Linked DNA regions of Mus musculus. The main gene of each other region encodes a partner of the protein of the gene in region 6 in a complex. Links are inferred from orthologs where the notes say so. Each region holds a gene or a part of one and is shown on either strand. Other genes may lie near its edges.

Region 1 (3,500 bases), on a different chromosome or scaffold from region 6:
CACAACAAAGCACTCTTACATTTTTAAAAAAAAAAAGTACAGAAAGAAAGAAAGAGAGAGAGAGAAGTTAGTTCCTATCCAAACATTTAATACTTACTTCAAACTCAAAAATATTGGACTTTCAAGTCCTTCTATGGGCTTCACAGCCTCTTAGACCTCCACTGAAGGAAAGGTAGCTGCATTACTGACTCTGAAACAGTGGCATTACCCTCAACCCCATAAATGTCCCTTAATTATCCAAGTATTGGACACTAGAGTTCTGAAGACACTATCTTACTTTACTCTCAAATAGAGTCTCTTTCTTTTCACCCTAACAATCTTGATCATAAAGTCTAGAACTTTCTGCCTCCAAAATCGCTTCAGCTCATCTTTGACCTTCTCATCAATTACTGTTGTAAAATACAAACTCCCATTCCTTAAACTCCGCTGACTGAAGTCCCATCTTCCTTCACTACGTAAGACCATCCATCAGTCTGACTCAAGGCTGCCGTCCCAGTGCTCTGACCCTCCTCTAACAGAGGGGACTGCATGAGATCAAGCTTCTCATCGTGCTGAGCATGTAGTACCATGCCGCTTTGTCACTTCTATGCTAGACTGCATCTACTCTACTCCTACAATCTTCTTGGACATCTTCTATCCCTAAAGATTTAAGTTAAAAAAAAAAATTCCCTTTGCAAAAACTTAAATTTTCCTGGGTGAAGGCTTGACAAAGATTTCCTATAAAAGGCCTGATAGGAAACATTTTAGGTTTTCAGGGTCCTAAGCTCACAGTCTAAACTGCTATGCTATTTGGTAGCAGAGAAGCAGCGTCCACAAATGTGGGACGCACAGAGAGCACAGTTCGGTTCAGTCCCGGGGCTACAGGTAACAACTCTGACCCAAGACAGCAATCTCTCTCACACAGAATCAAAATGTCCTGTTACTACACTTACATCCTAAGGCCCTCACCACAATTTCTTGGTAATCTTAACTACCATTCATCCCGCCAAATGCAAAAATTTCAGTGCTGGATAAATACTCAAAATGAAAACACTGTAACATTTTATTTTAGATAGGATTTTAAAATGTAAGAAATACAAGCCAAGAACAGATGAGGTGAAAATCTCTCACTTCTATTGACCTTCCTTTAAGAGCAGAGATTCCGGAAGCACCTGCTCCTCCTTGGCCTCAGCCGAGTGACGGATGGACGCTAGGTAGCCTGCACTGAATGCACTTTAAGGCTGTTTTCTCATCATGGGGAGAGCCCAATAAGCCAGGCACATCTGCAGATATCTGTGGGACAGTGTCCTTAGGCAACAACAAATGGTCCATAAAGCTAAGGTTTAGGTGATATGAAACTCTGTTCTGAAGTAGTAAAATATAAAAATCTGCAATACTTAGAATAGTACTTATGAAAAAATGTTTTACAAAACTCTGAATAATAATGCTTAAAATAGCCTTCAAAAGTTAAAGACAGAAAATAAAACAATGAGATTATAGAATAGAATGTTTTAATGTCCCAACAATACAAATGCATTCTGCATCAAAGGAAGCACTATTTTCTCTGCCTGGCACAAACTCTTGGAGTGTTTTGCTTGGAGACAGGGTCTCATTGGCCCTGTCTGGCCTGGGGTTCCTCATGCAGACCAGGTGGACTTCAAACTTCCAGAGCCTGGGTTACTTCTTTGTGCTGAGTGCTGGGACTACTCTTAATCCCAACACCAGCATTTAGTAGCTCTTACTATCCAGTACAGTGCTTAACATTTCACATGCTCATCACCCACATACCTCCCAGAAACCACATTACACTGGTCCCCATTTCATCGATGAAAACGAGTCACAGACAAGTAAACTAACCAAGTTACAGAGTCAGAACCCAGATCTGAAGCCTGGAATCTGGTTCCAAGGTAGCCTGTGCTAACTTCACTGTGGTGCTCTTATGAGTTTCCTAAGGGGGGGGATCTGCCTTCTCATTCCATTTCTTTTCTTTCCTGTATTATGTCTTTAATATTTAAATAAAGGTTTTGTATATACATATAATTGTATTAGTTTTAATTTTTTAATATATGAAAATAACTACATGCTTAGATTATGACCCCTAAAATGGTATCATTGGTCAGTAACTTAACAAAATAATTCATATAATGTCTATATAACACTGTAAGCAATATAATTAAGTTACAGTAGCCAATTCCTAGCCTTCCAGAATCTTCTATTGAAAAATCTTTAACTGTATACACCCTGAGTAACTCATCCTGAGTAACTCATTAAGATCACTATCCAAGATCCAACTACAGTAAGCTGCCACCATCTTCAGGTGGCATTTCCTAAGTGCTCCTATTTCTACCCTGCCAAAGACATCCCTCACAACAGTGTCGTTGCTGTTGTCTCAACTTTACAGCACAGCACTGTCCCTGAGATTAAGGTTAGTGAGTACAGAGCCTAACAAGCTGTCAACTTAACAAGATGGACTTCATGTCCCCATCTCCCACCAAGACACCATGTCCTACTTCCTTCTTCTCTCCACTGTACTAACAAAAGTCACAGCGCACAGCAGTCTTCACTAATAATCTTAAACATCAGGATACTAAATCTTCTATTTTACTGGCAAGAAATAATTTTTGGTTACCCTTTAGTGATTAATTTTAATAAACCATAAAATCTAGACAACAATTCCTCGTTCAAGAAATCATCAAAAGCCAACACTAATTCTCACAGTATAGCTAGAAATATGTTTTTTCTTTTGAAAACATACAAAAATCTCGTAATTTTCCAACAAGTACTGGGTATAAAGGCGACTAAGTACATACCAACTTCATTAAAATCTTCAAATGTGATCTTGCCAGTGGCTTCTCTGTCATAATCTTTAAGAATCTTCAACACATCAGCCTTTTTCACATCAAAGCCCAAGGCTCTCATTGCCACCTTTTGGATTAAAAAGGAAAAACAAATTGTAAAGCACTACTTACAAAAGAAGTCATCAGTGATTTCTAAGGAAGTTTTCCATCTTAAAAGACAACAGCAGATTACTAAAGCACAATTATTCTGTATTTTTACCTCTAACTTAAGACTATGAAACATCCTGGTTTTTCACTTTGAAAATAAATAGAAATTATTTTCATTGGCATTTTGCTGTTTTATATGACCAACTAATTAAAAAGAATTTACAAAAAATATATAAAACGATGCACTAAATACAAAGATAACTATTTGTTACCAAGGGAATAAAGACATATCACAACTATTAAAAGGCTAGACAAAAGCATAAAAGCAGGGAAAAAAAGCAGAAAAATTTCAGGCCTCCATGGTTGACACAGTGGAATTTTATAATCTTATCACTCAGGAGACTGAGACAGGATTGTCATAAGTTTGAGACTAGTATAGGATACACATTAAGATCCTTTCTCAACAAACAAGCAAGCAATCGGCTTTCCCACCAGAGCATACATAATTAGCTACTATGGTACAATTAGTTTCAGATGACTGAGTTTAAACAGAAAACTGCTACTAGTACCAGGAAA
Region 2 (2,981 bases), on a different chromosome or scaffold from region 6:
CTTCGGTGCTGGAACATCTATGGGATCACTGTCAATACGGTCATTAAAGATTTAAATTATGAGTGTTGCTCACTACTACTGAGGTCACTGCTTCAGTCAGTACAGCTGTACTGGTTGTACCACCTCCTGCCCTTGTTTTGCTGCATGTGAAATAAAACCATTTCACCCTGCTTGGCATCTTTCAATACAGAGCACAGCGGTGGGACACCATGCTATGAATTCCAACTAGTTTCTGAAACTTGTGTTTAAAGAAGCTAACCAAAGAAATTAGAGGGTGTTCCAAGGTCACTGGCTGAGTTGGGTAAGGCCTCAACCTCATCTGGGCAGGATTAATCCCCTTGCACCAGTCCCGTGGGTCCCTGGCTTCTCTAATGAGACGGAGCAGGGCTATTCTCTATCAATGAGCTCTTAAGCCAGGAGTGGAAACATCCATCTTAAAGGCAACTATTGTTCATTTTGCAATGTCAGGTTCAGAATAGACAATTTTAAAACCTCCTTGGTAGGATTAACAATTGGTCTTATATTTGCAAAACAATTTATTCTTTAAAATCTATTTACATTGCCATACAAAGTTACTATATTGCAACTGTCCTCATCTTCTCTCAGGAACCCTCCAGTGAGCCTTCCCTTATAATTGCCCGAGCAAGATTCCGGGCAAGAGCCAGTCTCAGCATCTCCACCTTGGTGGTCTCTATGTCGTCATCCTAAAGAGCAGAAAAACAGTGTGAGGAGCAACAGGCAGCATTCCAGGAGAGCATGGAGCCATCTGAACCTACGATTACAGTTCAGAATATGACCAGTATAGCATACTAAGTTTGGCTCTGCAGTGGGAAGACTTGCTCCTAAAAGTTGGTGTTACAGAACAGGTTAATAGCTAAAAGGCACATGAATTCATAAAAAGGCTAATGTTTCAAGATGGCAGGATAATGGGAGGAAATCCTGAGACAGAAATCTTTCCCCACTTCAACACAATCATCTTCCCAGGAGTTAAAATGACCTGCAGTCGCTGGGCATCAGGTTCACCACACTCTGGCCTCCCTGAGGCCAAGTCTTCCAGGCACCGCATCAGCTCATATGTCTGCTCTGCTGAAAAAATCACCTAGGGGAAAGAGGCTGCGTCACTCAGCTGCTCCACAGGCACAGCTCCAAAGTCTTCAGGGAGAAATATTTGCATACAGAGCCCTGGGCTGCTGGTATGCTCCTAAGTCTTACATCCATCCCTCTAGTGAGGCATCTTCCAGCTGTTCTGAAATGAATAGTGGATTGGTGCTCGAGCCTTGGACACGTGTACACGGTACTGCTTAGGCGTAAATGAGCTTCTGTATGGCTGCAGAAGCCAGCTGAGGAAGACCACCAAAGGCACAGAACAGATAGGTCAGATGTGATCAAGTATTACCTGTTTCTGTTCCAAAAGAGGAAGGGCATCTGTGAGCAGAGTCATCCAGAAAGAACGAGGTGCAATCTGAGAGGTCATGAGGGACAGCAGAAGAGAAGCAGCGTCACCAAAGCGCTTCTCCCCGTACAGTCTGTGGAACTCCCGGTACTTTCCTGTTGAGGGGTGTGAGTTCACCTCAAAATTCCTCTCTACTTACCTGATACTTAGAAAAGCTATCCTGGCTTTAAACTAGGACTCCATATACCTGGAACTGTTTCTAGAACAGTTTCAAGTTCACAAATCAATGAAAGGTAGGATTCAAGGATTTTTATGAGCACCAGCCTTGGGGAAGTGTCAGTAGTGCAGTGAGAGATCAGTTAGAGCGCTGGAAAGATGGTTCTGCTAATCGTACTCACTCTTCTTGTACAGAAGACATGAATCAATGCCCAACACCCACATGCCAGCTCACAACTGACCAACTCCAGTCCCATGGGACCCTCCTCTAGCTTCTGCAAACACCAGGCCAATATGTGGTGAGCACCCATACACAAAACAAAAGTTTAAGAAGATTAAAATACTCCACGAATCCTGGTGATGTACATGAGGTAGAGGGTCTGAGACACTAATCTCTTCCTGCAGTGAACTGCCAGCTCACACAAGCAACAAAAAAATCTCTGGTGGAAGCATGATGGGAATTGGACATGGATACCATACCAAACTCTTCCAGGCTCATAATCCCAGCCTTGGGGAGGGAAAGCTAAAAAACTTCTCTGTGTGAGAGGCTAGCCTGGGCAGCCAGAGAGGTACACAGTGCCACCCTGTCTTCAAAAAATGAGTATGAAAAGTGTATATAAAATGTGTTTCTCATGCTATTTATTTCCCTAATTTTGGAATTATTGGGAAACAAAATGTTACTAAACTATGCAAAGGCTAACACATGCAAAGGCTGGCTGTCCATCTCCCCAAGTGTCCACTCTGGAATACCCAGGGGAAAGAATGACAAGACTCACCCAGAAACGTCAGTCGATCACTGAGCATCATGGCTGACCCCAGATTGTCAATGAGATCCAAGTCAGAAAAGCAGCCTCTCTCACAGTAATCCCGGAGGAATCTGCAGGGCCCAACCCAAAGATGAGAGCAGCAATCCTAGGCCCACCTCAAGCTCCAGCCAACCACAAAGCCTCACCTACCTGTCAGATACGAGTGTGGCAAAGGCAGCATCTTTGGCACGGATGCTCCAGGAGAGTGCTGAGCCCAAGCGGTTATTACGAACAGCCTTCATGGCCAAGATCTTACAGATGCTTTTAACTTGCAGGAGAAAGGACAAAGGGCAAAGGCTCACACCTTATAATCCTCCTGTGAAAAGCCCTGTGGGGACAGGCTCGGCCTTCCGACAGCCTCACTACAACCTAAAGTACTCAATCTACAGCTAAGTGAGAAAACCAGAAACTTCCGTTTATTCTTTGTCTTTCCTTTGCTCATACCACAGATGACCCACTCACTAGACTGGCTTTCTGAGTGTTTGTCCTTGGGTGGCAAAAAAGATCTTGGTTTTCCTCCACATTAATAGTCCCACCGTTATCTGTCCTGAGACCACACAAATCTC
Region 3 (4,124 bases), on a different chromosome or scaffold from region 6:
TTTGACCTTTATCTGGTTGATCAAGACAATATCTTTCTAGCTCCACAACTTCAAGCAAGGTGGCTTTAAAAAAAAAAAGAAAAAGAAAAAGGAAGAAAGTTAAAAGTAGAAAAATGCTAAAGTTTAAACATTTCCCAGAAGACCTAAACCAGAAGTCAAAACAGGAAATCAGAAATCAACTGAACATGATACAGGAGTCACAGGTACTGGGTGACTGCAGTAGCTAGCTCCTTGGCCTGACATTTGCTGTCCTGCATTCACCAATAAGCACCAGCCTGCTTACTCTGAGTCTAACACAACTCTTCAGTCTGCCAAGAGGCCATGGACACTTATCAAGCATTAGTATGAAACATGCCATGTCATGAAACTCCTTGATATATCCAAGATGATGACTCAGCAGTTGCTGCAAAACAACCAGTTGACAAGCTCGGCTAGTAGAGGACAATGACATCCACTAAGTCCGAGGTAAGACTAGTTACTTACTTTAAGACAGAAACAAAAGCTGAGCTGCATACTTTTATATAAGCCTAAACACTTTTTTCTTTGGTCAATTCTGCCAAAATTAAATCTGCTAACCAAAAAAGAGTTATCTTTAATTCCAGTTCAAATTAAGATGTACTTACATTTTAAATTAAATGACTGAGGCAAGAAGCTAACATGTCTTAGAACTACTGAGCTCTAAAACCATACAGCTTGAAATCTGTACCAGCTCTAAAACATGTTTGGTTTTAGTTGAATGCACTTCTCTCTCAAATTAGTTTGGTTTTTTTTTTTAACCTAAATACATTTTAAAATAAGCTGTGATCATAACTTTGGCTTCTTTCTAAATTCTATCATAATATCATACATAATATTGGCTTCTTTTTAAACTCTATCCAAGCCATCCATTTCTTTGCTCAAACTGTTTTCAAGCAATCAGAGGTGGTTCATTACTCTTAGTATAAGAGTATGTTTGCCTTAATGTCCATTGTACAGTATTAGGCAAAGTAAAACGGCCAGGCTTGTGACCTGATTTTAATCTTAAAGTCTGCTTCTGAAGACCCCGGGCTCCTCAGCATTCAGGGAAAATGGTAATATTGCAAGGCTTCCAAGCAATGACAAATAACTTCTTAGTACATAAAACACAGCTGTTTCTATTCAAAACTTTCCCTATCTTTATTTTAAAAATCTCAAAAGTGATATAATTTAACATTACCAACAAGTATTCAATTTTAGCACTAGCCAGAATAAACAAAAAGTCTACATTTAAGAGTATGCAACAAGTTATATATTAGCCCTTCTTCAGTAAGCTTAAAATATACACTTCCTACTTTTAAAAAGTGGCTTCGTTAAAGTGAGTTTTTAACGTTTTAATTCTCACAATTTTTAATAACTGAAAGTGTTCTCTGAACCAACTATCTCGTTTACAACAAGAATCGACATTTTTATAAACACCCAAAGAAGGCATACGGTGGCTTAAGTAACACCCCTGGTGAGCCCGAAATACCTTAAACTTCTAGAAAACGCCCAGTATTAAAAATATTTGGTGTATGAGATCAGAGCTGAAGAACTGGTCAACTGTAGAGAGTGGATGATTCTGGTCTTCAGTATATAGAGCGGGGTGGAGAGAAGAGAGGGAAGAACCACGCATCAGAGACCAGACGTAAGAGCGGCGAGGGACTTTCAAAACGCCTCAGTGCCACATAACTATAACTCAGTTAAGAGAGGAAAGGATGAGAAGCTAAACCAGTGTGTTCCGATCTGGAAAGGCCAAGCAGACAGACGAGGGGACCGGACTACCATTAATGATTTAACGCGTCTAAAACCGAAATTATTCCACGATATGGGTAACAGCGCCCCCTCCCCAAGTCTCTCCGGGCCGCGGTGGCAGATTAATCTCCCCGCGCACCCTGAACCCGGGAACACAAGAAAGAAAAAGCCTGCCAGCGGATGGGCCTGTTGCCACATCTTTCCCTTGTTCCCTTCGTGAGGTCGTGAGGAATACCATTTAACCCCCAAAAACCCGCCAAAAAAAAAAAAAAAAAAGAAGAAGCAGCAGCAGCAGCAGCAGCCCGAATATCCGAAGCCTGAGATTTCTTTTCCCGCCCTGTGCCCGCCAGGGAAAGCCCTTGGGCGGGAGGGCTGGGAGAGGCCGCTCGCATCCCACGTGTCTGCCGCCAGGCCCGGCCAGGCTCTACCCACTTCCCGTCGCCACCCGGGTCCAGCCTCAGGCCCTCTGGTCCCCTCCACGTGGGGCCGCCGGGTCCTCGCACCGCCCCCCAAAGAGACCGCCCGGAGCCGCCCAGTCGCCACGGCGTACCGGTCCCGTACCTGGTGTTGGGGTCGCCCCTGTTGGTAAGGCTTCACCGGCCCCTGGTGGCAACGACGAGTCCGGATCTTGCCGCCGCCGCCGCCCCCTCCTATGCCTCCGGCTTCCGAGGCCATGGCGGAGCCTGGGCGGCCTCCCACTACCGCTCCCGGGCGGGAGAGGCAGAGGCGGCGGCCTGAGGGCCTCCCCCGCCCGGCCCTAGGCGACACACAGACACAGCGAGAACCGCGAGGGAGCGAGCGGGAACTGAGAGTGCGCGCGGCGGCGAGGAAGGCGGTGGCGGCGGCTGAGGGCCCCGAGGTGGCTGAGGAGCGCCGGCCGCGTGCGGACCCCCGCGTCTGTGTTTGTCACCGTCTCTATGGAGATCTCCCGCCGAGGCCGGCGCGAGCAGCTCCGGGCGCCGCTGAGGCCTAGCTCGACCGCCCGCTGCTAGAGGCTCCTCTTCAGTCGCCCTGGCCGTCGCTGCCGCAGTCCAGGCCGCTGGCGCCGCCCGCCAACCCCTCCCCCTGTGCGCGCTGCGCCCGCCCCACCGCCGCCGCCGCCGTCGTCGTCCCTGCAGTCGTCGCCGCCGCCGCCGCTCTTGCGCCTATTACCGCTGTTGAGGCGGCCGCCCCGGTCGCGAGCCAGAACACCGTCACTCCTCCGCGACCGACGCTTTGCGTCATCACGCTGCGACAATGCGGGGGGGGATGGGTGAAGGAAGGAAGGGTTGGCCGAGCCCGCGCTCCCTGTCGTGGGAGCCTCTGGGAAATGTAGTTTTTCTGGCCAGAACGCGGATTCTCGGAAAGGCAGGCTATAGCGGAAGGACACCCACGGAGCACCGCAGAGGCACAAAGCCCGGGTCATTTGGCGGCGGTTGGCTGCTTGTTTAGATTCAGAAGGGCACTCGACACGAATACTGTAATCTCCCATTCATCAATTATAAGCCGAATGGAAGTAAACAGTAAAATCAAAGAACCATAATGCATCACAATCCGGGGGGGGGGGGGGGGAGACCGCGTTGAAATTAACCGTGGCCGCGATCCCCAGGCCAAAAACAAAGTAGGAAAGGCATTTGGCACTTGGGAGGCAGACACAGGGGAATGGCTAGTTACACATTACCCTCAGCTTCATAGTGAGATTCTGTCTCAACGAAAGCAAAAAATACAACTTCATTACTGTTTCATTAAACATATAAGGGCTTTGTTGTCAACACACACCGTGCTGGCATTCTGAGTTGCTTCACTACTTACAAACTTGACCTTGGATGACTCTACTATTTAAATCTACCTTATAAAGTTGTGGGGAGCTAGTGCGGTCGTCTGTGTAGAGAGCACCCAGTAGATTTCCTGGTATACAAGAAACGCAGTAAATGGTTGCAATTATGACCTATGCAATCAACACACATTAAGGGTGACTCATATATCCCTAGTAAACATATATTTGCTTCAGTTAATATTATAGTTAGGTGACTAAACAATGTATCCTCAAAGACCGGATACACCGTGTTAAAGATGCAGGCATTAGACAAAAGGTCTGTGTGATCATGTGGTCCAGCCTAGTCATTCAATGGACTATATGGAAACCAAGAAAATTTAAGGGGCACCATTAAGGGTATCGATTTAGAGCCTGGCTGGTGACAGACATCTTTGATCCCAGCACTCAGGAGTCAGATGTAGATGGATCTCTGTGACTTCAAGGCCAGCCTGGTCTACAAAGCGTTTTCCAAGACAGCTAGGGCTGCATAGAGAACTGACTTGGAAAAAAATAAAAGAGGGTGGATATCTAATTGGGCACTCAAAGCCAGGACTATAACCCAGGGTTTTTTTGTTTTTTG
Region 4 (3,500 bases), on a different chromosome or scaffold from region 6:
TATTACTGGGGGACTGAAGCAAGCATGTACAATCCTAGATGACCTAGGAGTCAATTTGTGGCTGCTACATAGAGATCAGTATTTCCATAAAAGAAGCAATTCACTAATGATCACAAAGGAGCCATGTGAAGAAGATACATACATCTTAGTTGAATGGTTGTTGAGTTTCTTTAAATATACCATGTAACTACTAAAATCCTTTTTGACCAAAGAAAATTAGTTATTGAAGATAAGGAAGGTAGTTTTCTCTTATGTGAGGGGATGCTAACTGGACATACCTGAGATTTAAATTTAATTAAGATTTTCTTTTTTATTCTGGCAGAGCTGGAGATAGAACTAGGGCCTTGTGCTTGCTAGGCAAGCACTGTATCACTGAGCTGTTCTCAGCCCAGAACTTTGATTTAACAACATGTCCTCTGTATTTACCATGCTCTAGATACTATGGGAAGGCTGCTATAAAGGAACACAGCCTGGTGATTTAAGAAAGACATGGGAGTGGTTTTGACAGGAGGCAGTGCAGAGTAGATCCTGAAAGGAGGAAACTTGCAGACATTTGCAAGGGTTCACATGAGTGGTGAGAGAGTGGGCCCAACATAGGAAATTAGAGAAGAAGTGAAATTGAGTTGGGAAAGTGATGAATTTCTTGTTCTTTTGTTTGTTTGTTTGTTTGTTTGTTTGAGACAGGGTTTCTCTGTGTAGCCCTGCCCTGTCCTGCCCTGGAATTCACTCTGTAGACCAAGCTGGCTTTGAACTCAGTTCCACCTGCCACTGCCTCCTGAGTGCTGGGATTAAAGGTGTGTGCCACCACCTCTTTAACTGTGCTGCTTCTTGTTATTGGTACCCTGGCATATGGTTGATGGGCCTTTGAATCTGCTATGCCAGGAATGATGCAGGGAGTAGAAACCCTAAGGGTCCCCTTAACATTAAGACCTGCTTATTTGAATACATTTTGGCATACGTTTCAAACACATTTGAGCTTTATTACTAAATAATCAATTCCTTTTCTAGGAGAGCATCAGCAGCCACATTTCCCTGGCCTCACCAGGGGATTGGTAGCTGTCCTTTTATACTGGGATGGAAAGCGGTGCATTGCAAATTCTCTCAGAACCCTGATACAGTCTAGACGAGGAAAGACATGGACATTAGAACTCAGGTCTGTTTGCCTTTGGGGACTTACAGGGTTAATGTGAAATTACTTGAATTTGAGTTTTGGAAATAACAGTTTTTCCTTAGTGTGTACCCTTTCAGTAAACTGTAAGCTCAGGTCAATAATATACTGGACTACTCTTTCCAGAGTAATACCTTAGTTTAAACCTGACTTATTTGCAAGTGAAAAATCACAGAGATTTATTTAACTCCAGTGATTTAGAAAGGGTAAAAAGAACAAGACTATAATTCATCCTGGTTGTTTGTAATAATAGACTGTTGTCAAAACAGTATCTTTATTCGTTATAGCTTTGTTTGTTTCTTTTCCTTGCAGTCCAGAGCTGGTTTCCATGACAACACGCTTTACAGATGAGCTGATGGAGCAAGGATTGACTTACAAAGTCCTTACTTTGCTGTCACAGATTGATGTGAATAATGAGTTTGAGAAACTACAGAGAGAGAGAGGTTTGGGCAGTGAGAAACACCGCAAAGAGGCAAGGGTTCTATAAGATGACCTCATGGGTGTCTTTGACAGATGTGGAACAGAAGAGCTTACAGAATATTCATTTCACTTAGGCAGATGAAAATACTGTTTTATCATCATTGCTACTGGTTTCCTTTTCTTTTTTCTTTTTTCTTTTTGGTTGGTTTTTTATTTTTATTTATTTATTTATTTTTGAGGCAGGGTCTTACTATGTAGTAGTCGATTGATCCAGAACTTGCTATGTAGACTAGGCTAGCCTCCAACTCAGAGATCCACTGCTTCTGGGATTAAGAGTATGAGCAATCACCCCTGTGGCAATACTGCATTTCAAATGTGTAGACTGCTCTGCTCATGGATTGTGCCTGCATTTGTTCCAGTTGCTGTGCCTCTGTTTATGCCTTGTCTAGTTTTTTCTGAAATGAGTTTTTCAAGCAATTGGTCAGCGTGGTTTCTCAAGGACTAAACCTCTAGAATTTATTCAGAATCCCAGCAACTTTACGAGCATGTGTGGATTCATATCAGTTAATTTTGTTAGCCTTTATGGAAGACACTGTTTTGTAATGCCAGACCTTGCTATAACTTATGTCACAATCATATTGTTACTTGTAGGTTTCTGATCTCATCAAGGAGTGCAGGCAGTCTCTGGCTGAAAGTCTTTTTGCCTGGGCTTGCCAGTCACCATTACCCAAAGATGACACCCTCCTACTTATTGGACATTTGGAAAGAGTGACAGTTGAGGCCAATGGCTCCCTAGATGCAGTGAATCTGTGCCTCCTTATGGCTCTTCTGTACTGTTTTGATACCAGCTTTATAGACCAAAGCACAGAGGAACGAGATGGTATTGAATTTTACATTTTATCTTTTTTAAAAAAAATATTTATTTTTATTTTATGCACATTTGTGTTTTGCCTGTGTGTATGTCTGTGTGAGGGTGTCAGACCCCCTGGAACTGATTTTATAGATAGATGAGAGCTGCCATGTAAATGCTGGGAATTGAACCCTGGTCTTCTGGAAGAGCAGCTAGTGCTCTTAACTGCTGAACCATCTCTCCAACCCCTACATGTTTGTTTGTTTGTTTGTTTATGTATATATGTATGTATACTTAAACACACATATATGTGTGTGTGTATATATATATACACATATACATATACATATATATCATATATACACATATATATGTATATATATATATGATTATTTTAATGAATGAGTACACTGTCACTGACACACCAGAAGAAGGTATTGGATCCCATTACAGATGGTTGTGAGTTAGTTACCATGTAGTTTCTGGGAATTGAAGTCATCACCTCTGGAAGAGCAGCCAATGCTCTTAACAACTGAGCCATCTCTCTAGCTCCAGCATTTATATTTTTTAATGCTTTTTTTATTCTTAAGAGTCTCATGTATGGTCTAGGTTAGCCTCAAACTAATTTTTTAGTTACATTTATGTGTCTGTGTGCGCATGTGCCAGAAGACAACTTTCAGGATCAGTTGTTTCCTTCAACTATGTGACTTGAGGAGGTAAGCTTAGGTTGCCAGGGCTGGCAGCAAGCGCTGCTACCCACTGAGCCATTTTGCTGGTCTGGCCTCAAACTCTTGATCTTTCTGTTCTAGTCTTCTGGGTGCTGGGATTACAGGCATATGCTAACATACCCAGCATGTGCTAACACAACCACCAATACATTTATTTTCAAAAATAAAATTTTAAGTTGTGAGGGAACATTCAAGAAGGACAATATTTTAATTTCCAAAATACAACTTTTCTTCTTTGTTTCTGTCTGTGCAATCCAGGCAAGTTTGAAACATTTTAAATGTGCAATGCAATTTAAGACTGAGGCCAAACTCTGTAATGGAGGAATTGCTTACC
Region 5 (3,926 bases), on a different chromosome or scaffold from region 6:
CAAACAAGTATGGTACATTGTAAAAAAAAAAAAAAAAAAGAAAACATACTTAGTAAAGTGAATATAAACTCAGGGGTTACATAGGAAATATAATTGTATATAAAGTACTGTACAAAACAAGCAGACACTAGATTCATTTTTAAAATATAGAAGCAGTGAGTAGGGTTGTAGTCAGGGAAAATACATTGCTAAAACAGATAGACTGATAAAGGCAGAGGAGGAGAGAGGTATTTTTCACAATGGCCTTCAAAGAATTACCAGGGCCCTGAGTCCTTGTAATGCAGAAGAGCAGAATTTCTGAAAGCGTTCAAACCTCAGCTATTTCAGGAAGGTTCTTGCCAGGAGGTTCAGGTGGAAGAATAATCTAGGAACCAATCTTAAGTGTGAACCATTTGTCTGAAAATGTCAGATTGACACCTGATTTATTGTATGATAATTTAATTTTTAATAATAATAAATTAAAACCAAAAATGACTAGCATTGAAAATCTCGGTGTTAAAAGTTTTTACTGCTTGTGATTATCATGTGGCCACATGAAACAAGATAATGCTAATACCTTAAAGAAAGCCAAATGAAACGTAGAGATCCTCTCAATTAAAAATACTATCTTCTCCCATGTGGAAGGGATAGATTTTGTTGGATAAAGCTCTTTGTATGTCTAGATTCTCATGTTTCTACCATTATGGGTAGAAAGCATGCTAATTATCTTAACTAACTTACCATTTTCTGAGTCATCACTGTCAAAAAGTCACTGAAGTTCATTTTTCCTGTTCCTTCTTTATCAATTTCACTTATCATTTTCTTAATTTCTTCTTTCTTGGGCTCAAAGCCCAGGGCCCTCATTGCCACCTACAATGAAAACAGAATCATCTAAATAGATACATAACGTAAAAACAAAAATGACTATTGAAGATATTAACCAAACACCTGATAAAATGATGGAAATGATCAGGGAACACTTAAGGCTGATTTAATTGATATTTGCAATCAACTTTATCAATTAGACCATTGTTTCAGGTAAAATATACACAGGGTACCCTTGTCTGTTACTTTTTGCAGGCAGAAAGGAGAAGAACGGTAACAGCTAAAAGACAAGCAATAAGGAAACACAAGGTAACAAAGAAAAGGATGTGTGCAGCTTACCTTCAGTTCTTTGATGTCTATAGTTCCAGTTCCATCAGCATCAAAGAGATCAAAAGCTTCCCGGATTTCCTGTTTCTGGTCTTCAGTAAGTTCAGGCTTAGGACTCATCCTTTTTCTCTGGGCACTGGATGCCATGGTTGTCTTCTTAAAATTAGAGGCCTTCACACAATATATAAACACAGAAGCACATTATTACAAGCCATAGTCCTTGTTTTATTTATGACAGCTCTAAACATACATATCTTTTTCAATGAGGTGTGCCATCGTTTGTAATGTACTTATGTCATTACGTAAACTTCCATGGGCCAGTGAGAATTCTTGCTGCCAAGCTTGATAACCTAAGTGGGAACCAGGACCCAGGCTTCAGTTGTCGTTGTCAAAGATGAAAAGGGAAACGATGCTTACATGGTAAAAGGAGAGAACTAACTCTTCCAAATTATTCTCTGACCGCCACACTCAGGCTAAAATGTGCTTCTCCACCAAGGAATAATAAGTGTAAAAACTAAAATAAAATTAACCCCAACTCTAAATGACAAATAGCACAAACCTCTGTGAAGAAAAAACTTTCTCTCAACTTAAAACTATTTCAATTTATATATGTCAGTTTTTACTAAGTTATAAAAAAAGAAATTGGCAATAATGAGGTTATTTTCTAATATAACTGTAAATTTGTCTTAATGTGATGTCTCATATGACTAAATTCAACTATATTTCATTGGGGAGCCACCAAATAGAAGAGAGTTTTTGTTTTAAAATAGTATATTACCATTTTCCTCCTTGTTCTTGTATAGATCAACATAGAGCAAGTGAATATATGAATATGAATTTCTAGTGTTAACATAGCCTTCATGAGAAGACATAACTCTGACCTCCACTGTCTTAAAGTTTATACTACAGAAAGTTCATGCAATTGTACCATTAATCCATGTGTCACTTTAGGAGATTCAATTTCAGTCATTTTTAAATCTAAAAAAGCATCATCAAAAGCTCTTTGAGAAACCAATTACAGTTATGGATGATCAACTGTATATGATTTCCGTACTCTCGGTTTTAGAAATGTACTTAAAACATCTACTTGTGGTGCCAGTTCCCAAGAACTCTGCTCCTCCAATTACTTATGCCTAAATTTGGCTAAATGTAAACTTACTAAGATAAAAATTATGCCGGTACAAAGTGATAAAAATCAAACCATTTGCACCTGCGTGCTTTCTCACAGCCTCTCCTGAAAGCGTTTGCGACCATCAGAACACAGTAAACCTCTTAGCACCAATGCATAAACTTTAACTGGGTGGCCGCGGCCAGGAGGCCTGAGTTTGACTGAGGCGGAAGTCTAAGGGAAGCAATAGAATGGTCACCCTGCTGTTTCCTGAAAGCCAGCGGAGGTCCAGAGGCAGTTTGTGCGGGGGTGGCTGAAGGTGACTTGGGCGAGGAGGGGGTAGTGGGAAAGAGCAGGCAAGGCAAGCTGCTGGCGGCTGTACTTTCTCTTCTACCCTTCCGGCACACAGCTCCAAGGAAGAACTAGTGCGTCAACGCCAAGAACCGTGCAAGAAAGGTAGCAAGGCTGCACCGAGGCCTAGGAAAGGACCGGGGACGCCGCGTGGGGTCCACCGAATCCCTAGCACTTACCATCACCCAACGGACTCTGCCACCGGTTGTTAAGGCAACGGCGTACTCGCAGCCTCAGCGGCGTTCCCACTGCTCCACGCGCGCACAGCCCGCTTCCCATTGGTTTGGGAACGAAGAGGTGGGGCTAACCTGGCAAAACTCGCCCAAGAGCAAGAGGGCGGTGCGTCGGCAGCCAAAGACTAGCCTCATTGGGCAAAATCATGCTGTGAGCGTCAATTGGTTGCGCCAGAGCCAAGCTAGACCAATCAACATTATGAAGGAAGCTCTGCTGATTGTGGGCTCATATCTATCAGTAGAAAAGGGTGGCGGGTGTTCAGCCAGACTTCTCTGGTTGCCGGTTGTCTGCAAGCTGAGGTCGATCATTTGAGTGTCTAAACCGGGTAAGAGTTGCGGGCTTGCCCTTAGAGGCTGCTGCGTGTGGGTGACAGAGCCTGGAGGAAGTAGGAGGGAATGGGTGGGACCCATTTTAAAACCGAGTTGGGGGACACAGAACATCTGAGGGGCCAGCAAGATATGACCAAATGGTTTGGAGGGGTGACTGTGCCAGGAGAAGCTGAGACCTCGAAACTGGAGTGGGCATGCTGAGTATTGTGTCAGTGGTTCACAGGGCTGGGGCTTAGAAACCCAATCCACATGAGGCTTTGTCTTTACATTAGCTCTACAAGAGTCACTTTAGCTCTCAGGGGAATGGGCTGGGGACTTTTAGATCTTCAAAACTCATCAAAATGTGTCCTGTTAGACGTACAGACACTCAAGTCACATGGGAAGGAGCATTCCTGAATGAGACTCCCTTGAAAGCAAAGCCACAGGAGTTTTGGAAGTATGGAATGTAAAGAGAATTAAAGGGCAAAGTGCACAACGGGTTGGGGCTACCTGGAGCTGTGCCAGGAGTAATGAAGGCCCAGGGTCGAACACAGATTCTATGTTCTACGTCCCTCAAAGCAAAGAAAATCAGTTTAGGGACTTTAAGGGCACAGTATCAGTCTCTCAAACTGAGAAAGGCCTGAGACTTAACAGCTCCCCATAAATGTAATATAGGCCCTTTGCCCTCTTTCCTTTAAGCCAGGAACCGGCTTCAAAACTTTTGTGTCTTGTTTGGCTCCTTTGTTCACTGCAGCAACAATCCCCCATATCCAGCCTCTGAGTTCTCACAGTTC
Region 6 (3,500 bases):
GGACATGAGGTTGATTTCCATCATCCACCCACACGGGGGCTCCTAACTGTCCACCGGAACTCTAGTTCCAGGGAATTCTCAGGCACACACGTGGTACACAGACATATATGCTGGTAAAACACTTTCATAAAGTGATAAAATTTGGAGCTGTGCCTACACTAGACCTTATTTCAGAAACTAAAACCAAAACCAGGGAGGGGCTGGGGTGTCTCTGGGGTAGGAGAGAGCCAGCAGCAGCCTGACTCCTTGAAGGCATTGCTGTCACAGACAGTTTTGCTCATCCTTCAGTGAACAAATTAATGTGCACATTCTTCAACAAAAAACATATACCAAAAAAAACCAACCCTTTTTTCTTGAACTTGTTCTGAAGAACTTGCATAATCCTATAGATGAAGATTATATGAGGATGCTATAGAAATATACCACAGACCTTAAAGTCTTAAATAGTGTGCCTAATAAAATCAAGAAGTACATATAGGAATACCACATGGCCCATCTTTACAGAAATAATGTAGTATTAGGAAAGCTATCATTACAATCCACGATGACGATAAACTACAGAAAGTTGTTAACAGAAGCTAAAAGAAACAAAACCCCAAAAGACCACTGACCGTTTCCAGTCTCCTTCCAACTGTCAGCAAACAAACTTCCTTTCTTAACAGTAACCAAGAATTTACATATTAAAATGAGACAGTTGCCTCCAAAATAGAGAAGTAAAATAGTCTATAACAGTTAAGATGCAATTATATCTTCACATACACATAACAATAAGAGGTTAGGGGGACAGGAAAAAAGATAACCCCATATAAAATTACTATTGCTGACATACAGATTTATTACTAATGAATCTTTAAAAAGCAAAACAAAAAGCCATGTGCTGGGATGTGGCGCAGCTGGCAGAGATGCCTGGCATTCATGAGGCCTGACTGGGTGCCGTCTGCTCCCTCATAATCCCGGCAGTTCTGACCCGACAGACAGGTCTAGGCCAGTTTATACTTCAGAGGCCAGTTTATACTTCAGGAGACTCTCAGAAAATGCCCAATAGTAAATAAATAAATAAAACCAATATAAGATGTGTGGTGTGATGGCGTATATCTATAATCTCAGCACTCAAGATGGGGAGACAGAAGGGTGGTGACTTTGAGGCCATCTGGACTACAAAAACCACACCCTGTCTCAAAAAAGGGAAAAGAAAAACAGAACAAATGACTCAAGAGTAATTTGATTATGTGTGTATGTATAAAAATACACAGAAAACATCTGATAGGATGTTAATCCAAGTTATTACGTTAAATAATTTGAGGGATAAAAAGAACTTTTACCCATAACTATAAACATTTGATTACTTTGAACATCATCTCTGTACTTGTAAATCTTTTTTAATGGGGAAATGCAAATGGAGGGTTGAAAAATCAAATCTGTAAAGCGTAATGGAAAAAACCTGTGACGGAAAAAATTCATAGAAAACTTACAGCAATTGCAAACATATTTTCCTCTTCTAATGAAGACTGTATTCTGTCTCTGGGGAAAAGAACACAAATGAAAAAGCTTTACTTTACACAAATGCATGAAGCCACCTGGTAAGCTGTCCCACACTCTGTGGTGTGACGGCGTAGAAACCAATGAGATGCAGTGGGCTCCATCATCACCTTTAATGAAGGAAGTAAGCAGTAACTACATCATCACTCCAGTACCAAGACCCGAGCACAAAGGGCAACCACTACTGTAGCCTGAAGGCACCCCCAAAGGAACGTACCTTTTCATATAGCATAATTAAGCAAATCTTTCAGTATTGCATAATAAAACCCCAAACCACCAGGTCTCTTTCTTCCCTTACTTTCTGGAGCCCAGGCTCGCCTAGGCCTCCTGGGATCACACGGGTGTTGTGCTTTGTCTGGCTATGGACTGGTAAGTTTGTAGCTCCCAGTTTTATGACCTGATGGCCCCTCTTCCTCATAACATACTCTCCACACCTCAAGTATTAGGAATGATAAATCCCAAGATCAGCAAACCTATGCTGAGGCTACCCCTCATTAACACTGAATTCATCTGCCGAACTGGCTTATTAGCTTCTGTTCGTCTCACTTAGGAGTTGTGAGCTCTACAGAAAGTTACCTGTACAAAGAGGCGAGCAGCCTCCATGTGACCATCTCCTGTTGGAGAAGCCAGAGCATACTGGCCGTCTTGGAAAACTTCTGCAGTCCAGGCGTTGCGCGGCTCACTATTTTACTGAGGATATTCACCTACGGGAAGAACACAGACATAAGAGGCTGCTTGCCTACCACTCTCAGTTGCCTGTGTGGCTAACACTTTATTTGCTTGGCTGCTTCCCAAGCCAATATTCCGCTTATTCTCACACATGACCATTTTCTGAAGTTCTGTTCCTTGCTTTATAAATAGCACTTTTAGGTTCACTGCAAAACTGAATGAAAGCTAGAGAACCCACCATTCCTGCTCCCACATCCGCACGGACGCCCTCCCTCACTATCGGCATCTCGCAGTAAGGGTGCGTCTGTCACTCCTGTCAGGGATGGCCTCCTGGATCTGCCCTGCTGCCCCCACAGCCATGGCCCTGGTGTGCGGGGAATCTGAACTCAGGCCCCCATGCTCGCAGACTCAGACGTTTTCTCACTAAGCTGTCTCTCTAGCCTCAGACTTTCTTTTCTAAGGAGCAGATTTCTTTTTTTCTCCAAAGAGACAAGAAAACTCCAAGCACTTAAGCTGACCAAACATAGGACAGAATTCACTTACCTGACTACCACAAATATTTTCATATTCTTCTACGAGATCAAAGACTGTGGTTGAAGAGTGCTTCAAGAAAGAGTGCAGGAAATCAGAGAACATGCTCATGGATGCTAAAACACAGGGAGCAAGGGAGCACCACGTCAGTTCCATACACTAACACATTCTATTGCACCAAAGCCACCAAGGTGACTACACATCTTTCCCTCCTTCCATAACTGTATTTGTAAGAACTAGTGACTTGGAGAGACAGTTGGCTCAGTGGTCAAGAGCACAATGCTCTTGTAGAGGAGCCAGGTTTGGTTCCCAGTACCCACACCACACAAAAGCTCACAACCACCCACCATCACTCCAGTTCTAGGAAAGCTGATGGCTCCTTCTGCACACCAAGAGCACCAGGCACTCACATGGTGCACGTCTACACATCCAGGCAAAGTACCACACACAGTACATTTTTTAAAAACCTTTACTCCTGCCTCCACCTCTAAAATGTGGGATTACAGAAGTGTGCTACTGTGCTAGGGGCCTCAGTATGTTCAAATGTGAATCTCTCAATCTCTCAATCTCTCTCTCTTTCACACACACACACACACACACACACACACACACACACACACACACACACACACTTTTTGGGAGGCTTACAAGATGGCTTTGGCTGGCCTCGAACTTTCTCTATCTACCAGTCACTCTGAGACCTCAAACTCAGAGGTCTGCCTCTGCTTCTGCCTGCTGAGTGCTGGGACTGAATGCATGTG
Region 7 (3,500 bases), on a different chromosome or scaffold from region 6:
TAGTGCACATACATGCATGTAGGCAAATTACTTGTGCATATAAAATTAATAATTTTTTAAAAATTAAACAAAGCAGCCCAGTGTGGTAGTGCATGCCTTTGGTTCCAGACTCCTGAGGCAGAGACAGGTCGGGTGAGTTTTTGTGGATTCAAAGTCAGTTTAGTCTACATAGTCTTGAATTTCAAGACAACCAGGGAAAGAAAGAGTAAAAGGGGAAAGGGAAAGTGTGTAGAGAGAGAGGAAGAGGAAGAGAAGAAGGAGGAGGGGAGAGAAGAAGTGAGGAAGGAGCTAATCCCGGATCATCAGCATGGTGTTCTCTTACTCTAAGCTCCTATTTTCTCTTCCTACTTTAAACTCCAAAAGGATTATCAGGTGGGGAGAAGAGGAGCCGTGCCTTTGGCTAACATCAACTTTAAATATGAGTGGCTTAAGATGCCAGGGAGGAATTAAATGTTGGCCTTCAATGTAGAGTAAATATAGACCAGCAGCTCTCATTGCCCTTATCCTCAGCCAAACTTGAGTTCCTTACCTTGATAAAGGAAACCAGACCCAATCCAACAGGCTCCTCCCCTACACAGAGAGCCCTTCTGTCTTATCCTTTCCCACCTGAAGTGCTTTGGCCATTTAATAGTTTTTAAACAAAATCTGTATTATTTGCACTTAATAAAGTTAGATTAGAGGCTTTGAGAATGTCCAGGGACCACAGTGCTGAGCAGTGCCTATAGAAATCTAGCACTGGTACGGCCCACACAGCTGAGACCTGAGCATGCTTGTTTGTGAGTTGGATTCATAGTGGTAAAATGACATGAGTTGCTAGGCCGACCTTGGTGGACAGCTCCCAACAGTGGAAGCATTGGTGACACTTCTAACATCCTCTTAGCCTCCTCTCAAGACCATCTCCTAGCTGTTGTCACTAATGTGGGTCATCGTCCCATGGGAGCATGGGCTCCTTCCTGCCTGAATCTTGGTGTCTGAAGACTTGCCGCCCTCCTTGGCTACACAGAAAGGATGTGTACTTAGAAGTAGGAGGGGGGATTCTGCATGTGTACTGAGTTAGCAGAGGGAACTGAGTGTACAGCTACAAGCCTAAGAAATAGTTTGATGGAGACTTGGTGTAATTTCTCTCTGACCATAATAATTTTACATGTCAAATAGATATTACCTCAGCTAGCAAAGTTTTGCAGGAAACTTGGCCACTTCCCCTAGCCCAGTGGTTCTCAACCTGTGGGTCATGACCCCATGGACATCCCATATCATATTTACATTATGATTTATAACAGCAAAATTGCAGTTAGGAAGTAGCAATGAAATAATTGTCTGGTTGAGGGGTCACTGCAACATGAGGAAGTGTATTAAAGGGTCACATCATTAGGAAGGTTGGGAGCCACTTGTAACAAGTAGAGCCCTTGGCCTGGCATGACAAGCACAGACTGGTTCATATAGAGGTCCATTTTAGCGTCCATGTGTCCCTGACTTTGTTGTTGATCAAAAAGAGCTGAGAAAAGAAGGATATTGTGGAATAGTGTTTCAGGATGGACTCAAAGTATGCAGAAAAATTAGAGGCGCCAGAATGAACAAATTGGGTTGAATGTAAAGGTTTTTCTATCTGGGTTTGTCTTACAGTTGTCTGTCTGCAAAGAACTCCAGCTGCCCCCTAGCGATTTCCACGGGAGCGCTGATTTGGTGGCCCTGTCTTATGCTGCGACCTCAGGTGAAGTCCATTCTGTGCAGGTAGGTGACTTGGAAATGACTGGAGGCTCAGCGGGTGGGAGCCTGTGGGGCTCATACAGAGAAGATGGGCTCAGTGCCCAGCACCCACTTTGGGTGACTTATGATTGCAAGAAACTCCAGTTCCAGGCGACCCAACACTCTTTTCTGACCTCTGCAGGCACCTGCAAGCAGGTGGTGAACGTACAGACAAGCAGGCATACATGCAGACACACATTTCTTACAAAGCTAACGGAGAGCCTGATGTGGAGGTACACACTTAATCCCACCACTGGGGAGGCAGAGATGGGCAGAGCCTGGTCTTCGTCAAATTCCAAGCCAGCTAGAGCTAGACAAGGCAAGTCCTCGTCTCAGACAAACAATACTTTTTGTAAAATAAGAATATGAAACAGCAAGATGCAGCCTGAGGAAATACTCATAAATCCAACTTAAAAACAGAGATGGCCCAGAGGTTAAGAGCTTGTTGCTTCTGCCGAGGAACCCAATTTAATTACAGCAGCCACATGGTGGTTCACAACCATCTAGAACTCCAGTTCCAGGGAACTGGATCCCTTCTGACTTCCACAGGCACCAGGCATGTACATATGCATGTACATACACGCAGGCAAAACACTCATATACATAAAATACATAAACCAAAGAAAAAGAAGAAAGGAAAAAAAAGCAGGGCAGAGTCTTCAGGAGACACAACTTTACCGTCAGCACATGAGGAGCTGTGTGGCACTGTCAGCCGTTAGAACAGTGCACACAGCACCAGTGGGGCACTGCTGCCCAGCTGTAGAGTGGCTGAAGAGCCTGACGCTGCCTGCCAACTCCACTGCATGCTCTTATGCTAGGTTCCCAGGGTCGTTTCCTCCCCATGACTCCCCCAACCCTCTTGAACGCAGGGTTTCTCTGTGTAGCCCTGGCTGTCCTGGAACTCACTCTGTAGACCAGGCGGGCCTTGAACTCACAGAGATCACCTGCCTCTGCTCCCCAGTGCTGGGATCTGTAACCTAGCTTTGGCTGAGTCTCCTGCATCTCCCTGCTCCCTGTCCCTCAGATCCCATGTGTTTATTACCAGCCTCATCACCCTCCACACTGCTTTTTCTCCTCCCTCTTTAGTTTCCTGGCCTCTATGCACACTCGTCGCCACAGAAAGAAAAATATGTAAGAAAAGCTAAGATTGCATGTGAGAGCAAACAAAGTGCTTGTCCCTCCGAGCCTGGACCTCTCAATAGAATATTTTCCAGTTCTGTCCACCCACCTGCAAATCTTATAATTTTGATTGAGAAGTGGAAAGTTAACACAAAGGTCACTTGTGTTACAGCAGTTTTATTTGCATCTCTGGAGCTGTCCTTTGACAGACAGCTCAGTCACATGTGCACGCGGTAACTCAGGTGAACCTTGGGGAGCTGAGGAGGAGAAGCACAGCTGCAGCTCGGCCCTGTTGGTTTTGCTCTCTGCCTTCTCAAAGTGCCAGAAGTTAAGGGATGGAAACTGGTTCCTCAATAAAACGGGGAAGGGCAGCTGTCAGGTCTCATCAGGAGTGGGTGACAGAACTGCTGGGTGTCCTTATGATGGGTGCTAACACCATCTGCACATGGGGAGGTTCACGTGTGTGAACAGTTTACTGTTGCTTATTCTTTAAAGAATTTTGATGGGCATGGTTGTACACAACAGTAATCCCAGTACTTGAGATGCAGAGGCAAGCAGATCTCTTCAGGGCTAGACAGGGCTACACAGTGAGACCTTCTCTAAAATAAATAATTAAATATATAAAATAATAAAAT

What was found.
Region 1: Nup107 (region 6) and Cetn3 share a complex: the UniProt entries of both Homo sapiens proteins name them as parts of the nuclear pore complex. The link is inferred for Mus musculus from reciprocal best matches to the Homo sapiens genes NUP107 and CETN3.
Region 2: Nup107 (region 6) and Nup85 share a complex: the UniProt entries of both Homo sapiens proteins name them as parts of the nuclear pore complex. The link is inferred for Mus musculus from reciprocal best matches to the Homo sapiens genes NUP107 and NUP85.
Region 3: Nup107 (region 6) and Nup153 share a complex: the UniProt entries of both Homo sapiens proteins name them as parts of the nuclear pore complex. The link is inferred for Mus musculus from reciprocal best matches to the Homo sapiens genes NUP107 and NUP153.
Region 4: the proteins of Nup107 (region 6) and Nup205 are in contact, whole or in part, in a cryo-EM structure (PDB 7WB4), measured with the Xenopus laevis proteins. The link is inferred for Mus musculus from reciprocal best matches to the Homo sapiens genes NUP107 and NUP205. Residues at the interface, in NP_001091312.1 of Xenopus laevis: Gln134, Glu136, Pro189, Tyr282, Tyr283, Gln770, Ser772, Phe773, Thr774; in XP_041443600.1 of Xenopus laevis: Gly1247, Gln1248, Arg1249, Pro1250, Ser1458, Arg1506, Gln1507, Leu1983, His1991, Gln1995.
Region 5: Nup107 (region 6) and Cetn2 share a complex: the UniProt entries of both Homo sapiens proteins name them as parts of the nuclear pore complex. The link is inferred for Mus musculus from reciprocal best matches to the Homo sapiens genes NUP107 and CETN2.
Region 7: the proteins of Nup107 (region 6) and Nup133 are in contact, whole or in part, in a crystal structure (PDB 3CQG), measured with the Homo sapiens proteins. The link is inferred for Mus musculus from reciprocal best matches to the Homo sapiens genes NUP107 and NUP133. Residues at the interface, in NP_065134.1 of Homo sapiens: Leu875, Gln876, Ala878, Asp879, Val881, Ser882, Ser883, Glu884, Tyr889, Lys894, Leu897, Arg898, Leu900, Leu901, Gln902, Arg905, Ser908, Leu909, Leu912, Asp917, Pro918, Leu919, Tyr921; in NP_060700.2 of Homo sapiens: Trp937, Leu938, Ile941, Asn942, Gln944, Leu946, Tyr963, Ala965, Lys966, Lys968, Thr969, Leu970, Gly972, Leu973, Lys975, Leu976, Ala977, Leu979, Ala980, Ser981, Asp982, Ile992, Glu999.

The regions. Positions count from the first base shown.
Region 1 is NC_000079.6:81,786,247-81,789,746, reverse strand, and holds part of Cetn3 (centrin-3), read right to left. Parts: intron 2,905-3,500; coding exon 2,790-2,904; intron 1-2,789. UniProt on the Homo sapiens protein: Plays a fundamental role in microtubule-organizing center structure and function. As a component of the TREX-2 complex, involved in the export of mRNAs to the cytoplasm through the nuclear pores.
Region 2 is NC_000077.6:115,581,444-115,584,424, reverse strand, and holds the end of Nup85 (nuclear pore complex protein Nup85), read right to left. Parts: intron 2,684-2,981; coding exon 2,566-2,683; intron 2,487-2,565; coding exon 2,386-2,486; intron 1,549-2,385; coding exon 1,397-1,548; intron 1,341-1,396; coding exon of another isoform or gene 1,213-1,340; intron 1,100-1,212; coding exon 998-1,099; intron 705-997; coding exon 603-704; 3' UTR 501-602; downstream 1-500. UniProt on the Homo sapiens protein: Essential component of the nuclear pore complex (NPC) that seems to be required for NPC assembly and maintenance. As part of the NPC Nup107-160 subcomplex plays a role in RNA export and in tethering NUP96/Nup98 and NUP153 to the nucleus.
Region 3 is NC_000079.6:46,725,050-46,729,173, forward strand, and holds the start of Nup153 (nuclear pore complex protein Nup153), read right to left. Parts: upstream 2,801-4,124; 5' UTR 2,425-2,800; coding exon 2,311-2,424; intron 466-2,310; exon of another isoform or gene 1-465. UniProt on the Homo sapiens protein: Component of the nuclear pore complex (NPC), a complex required for the trafficking across the nuclear envelope. Functions as a scaffolding element in the nuclear phase of the NPC essential for normal nucleocytoplasmic transport of proteins and mRNAs.
Region 4 is NC_000072.6:35,187,616-35,191,115, forward strand, and holds part of Nup205 (nuclear pore complex protein Nup205), read left to right. Parts: intron 1-1,008; coding exon 1,009-1,153; intron 1,154-1,480; coding exon 1,481-1,640; intron 1,641-2,239; coding exon 2,240-2,468; intron 2,469-3,500. UniProt on the Homo sapiens protein: Plays a role in the nuclear pore complex (NPC) assembly and/or maintenance. May anchor NUP62 and other nucleoporins, but not NUP153 and TPR, to the NPC.
Region 5 is NC_000086.7:72,915,545-72,919,470, forward strand, and holds the start of Cetn2 (centrin-2), read right to left. Parts: upstream 2,801-3,926; 5' UTR 2,773-2,800; coding exon 2,770-2,772; intron 1,303-2,769; coding exon 1,144-1,302; intron 850-1,143; coding exon 721-849; intron 1-720. UniProt on the Homo sapiens protein: Plays a fundamental role in microtubule organizing center structure and function. Required for centriole duplication and correct spindle formation. Has a role in regulating cytokinesis and genome stability via cooperation with CALM1 and CCP110.
Region 6 is NC_000076.6:117,779,206-117,782,705, forward strand, and holds part of Nup107 (nuclear pore complex protein Nup107), read right to left. Parts: intron 2,856-3,500; coding exon 2,752-2,855; intron 2,244-2,751; coding exon 2,116-2,243; intron 1,522-2,115; coding exon 1,473-1,521; intron 1-1,472. UniProt on the Homo sapiens protein: Plays a role in the nuclear pore complex (NPC) assembly and/or maintenance. Required for the assembly of peripheral proteins into the NPC. May anchor NUP62 to the NPC. Involved in nephrogenesis.
Region 7 is NC_000074.6:123,939,266-123,942,765, reverse strand, and holds part of Nup133 (nuclear pore complex protein Nup133), read left to right. Parts: intron 1-1,623; coding exon 1,624-1,731; intron 1,732-3,500. UniProt on the Homo sapiens protein: Involved in poly(A)+ RNA transport. Involved in nephrogenesis.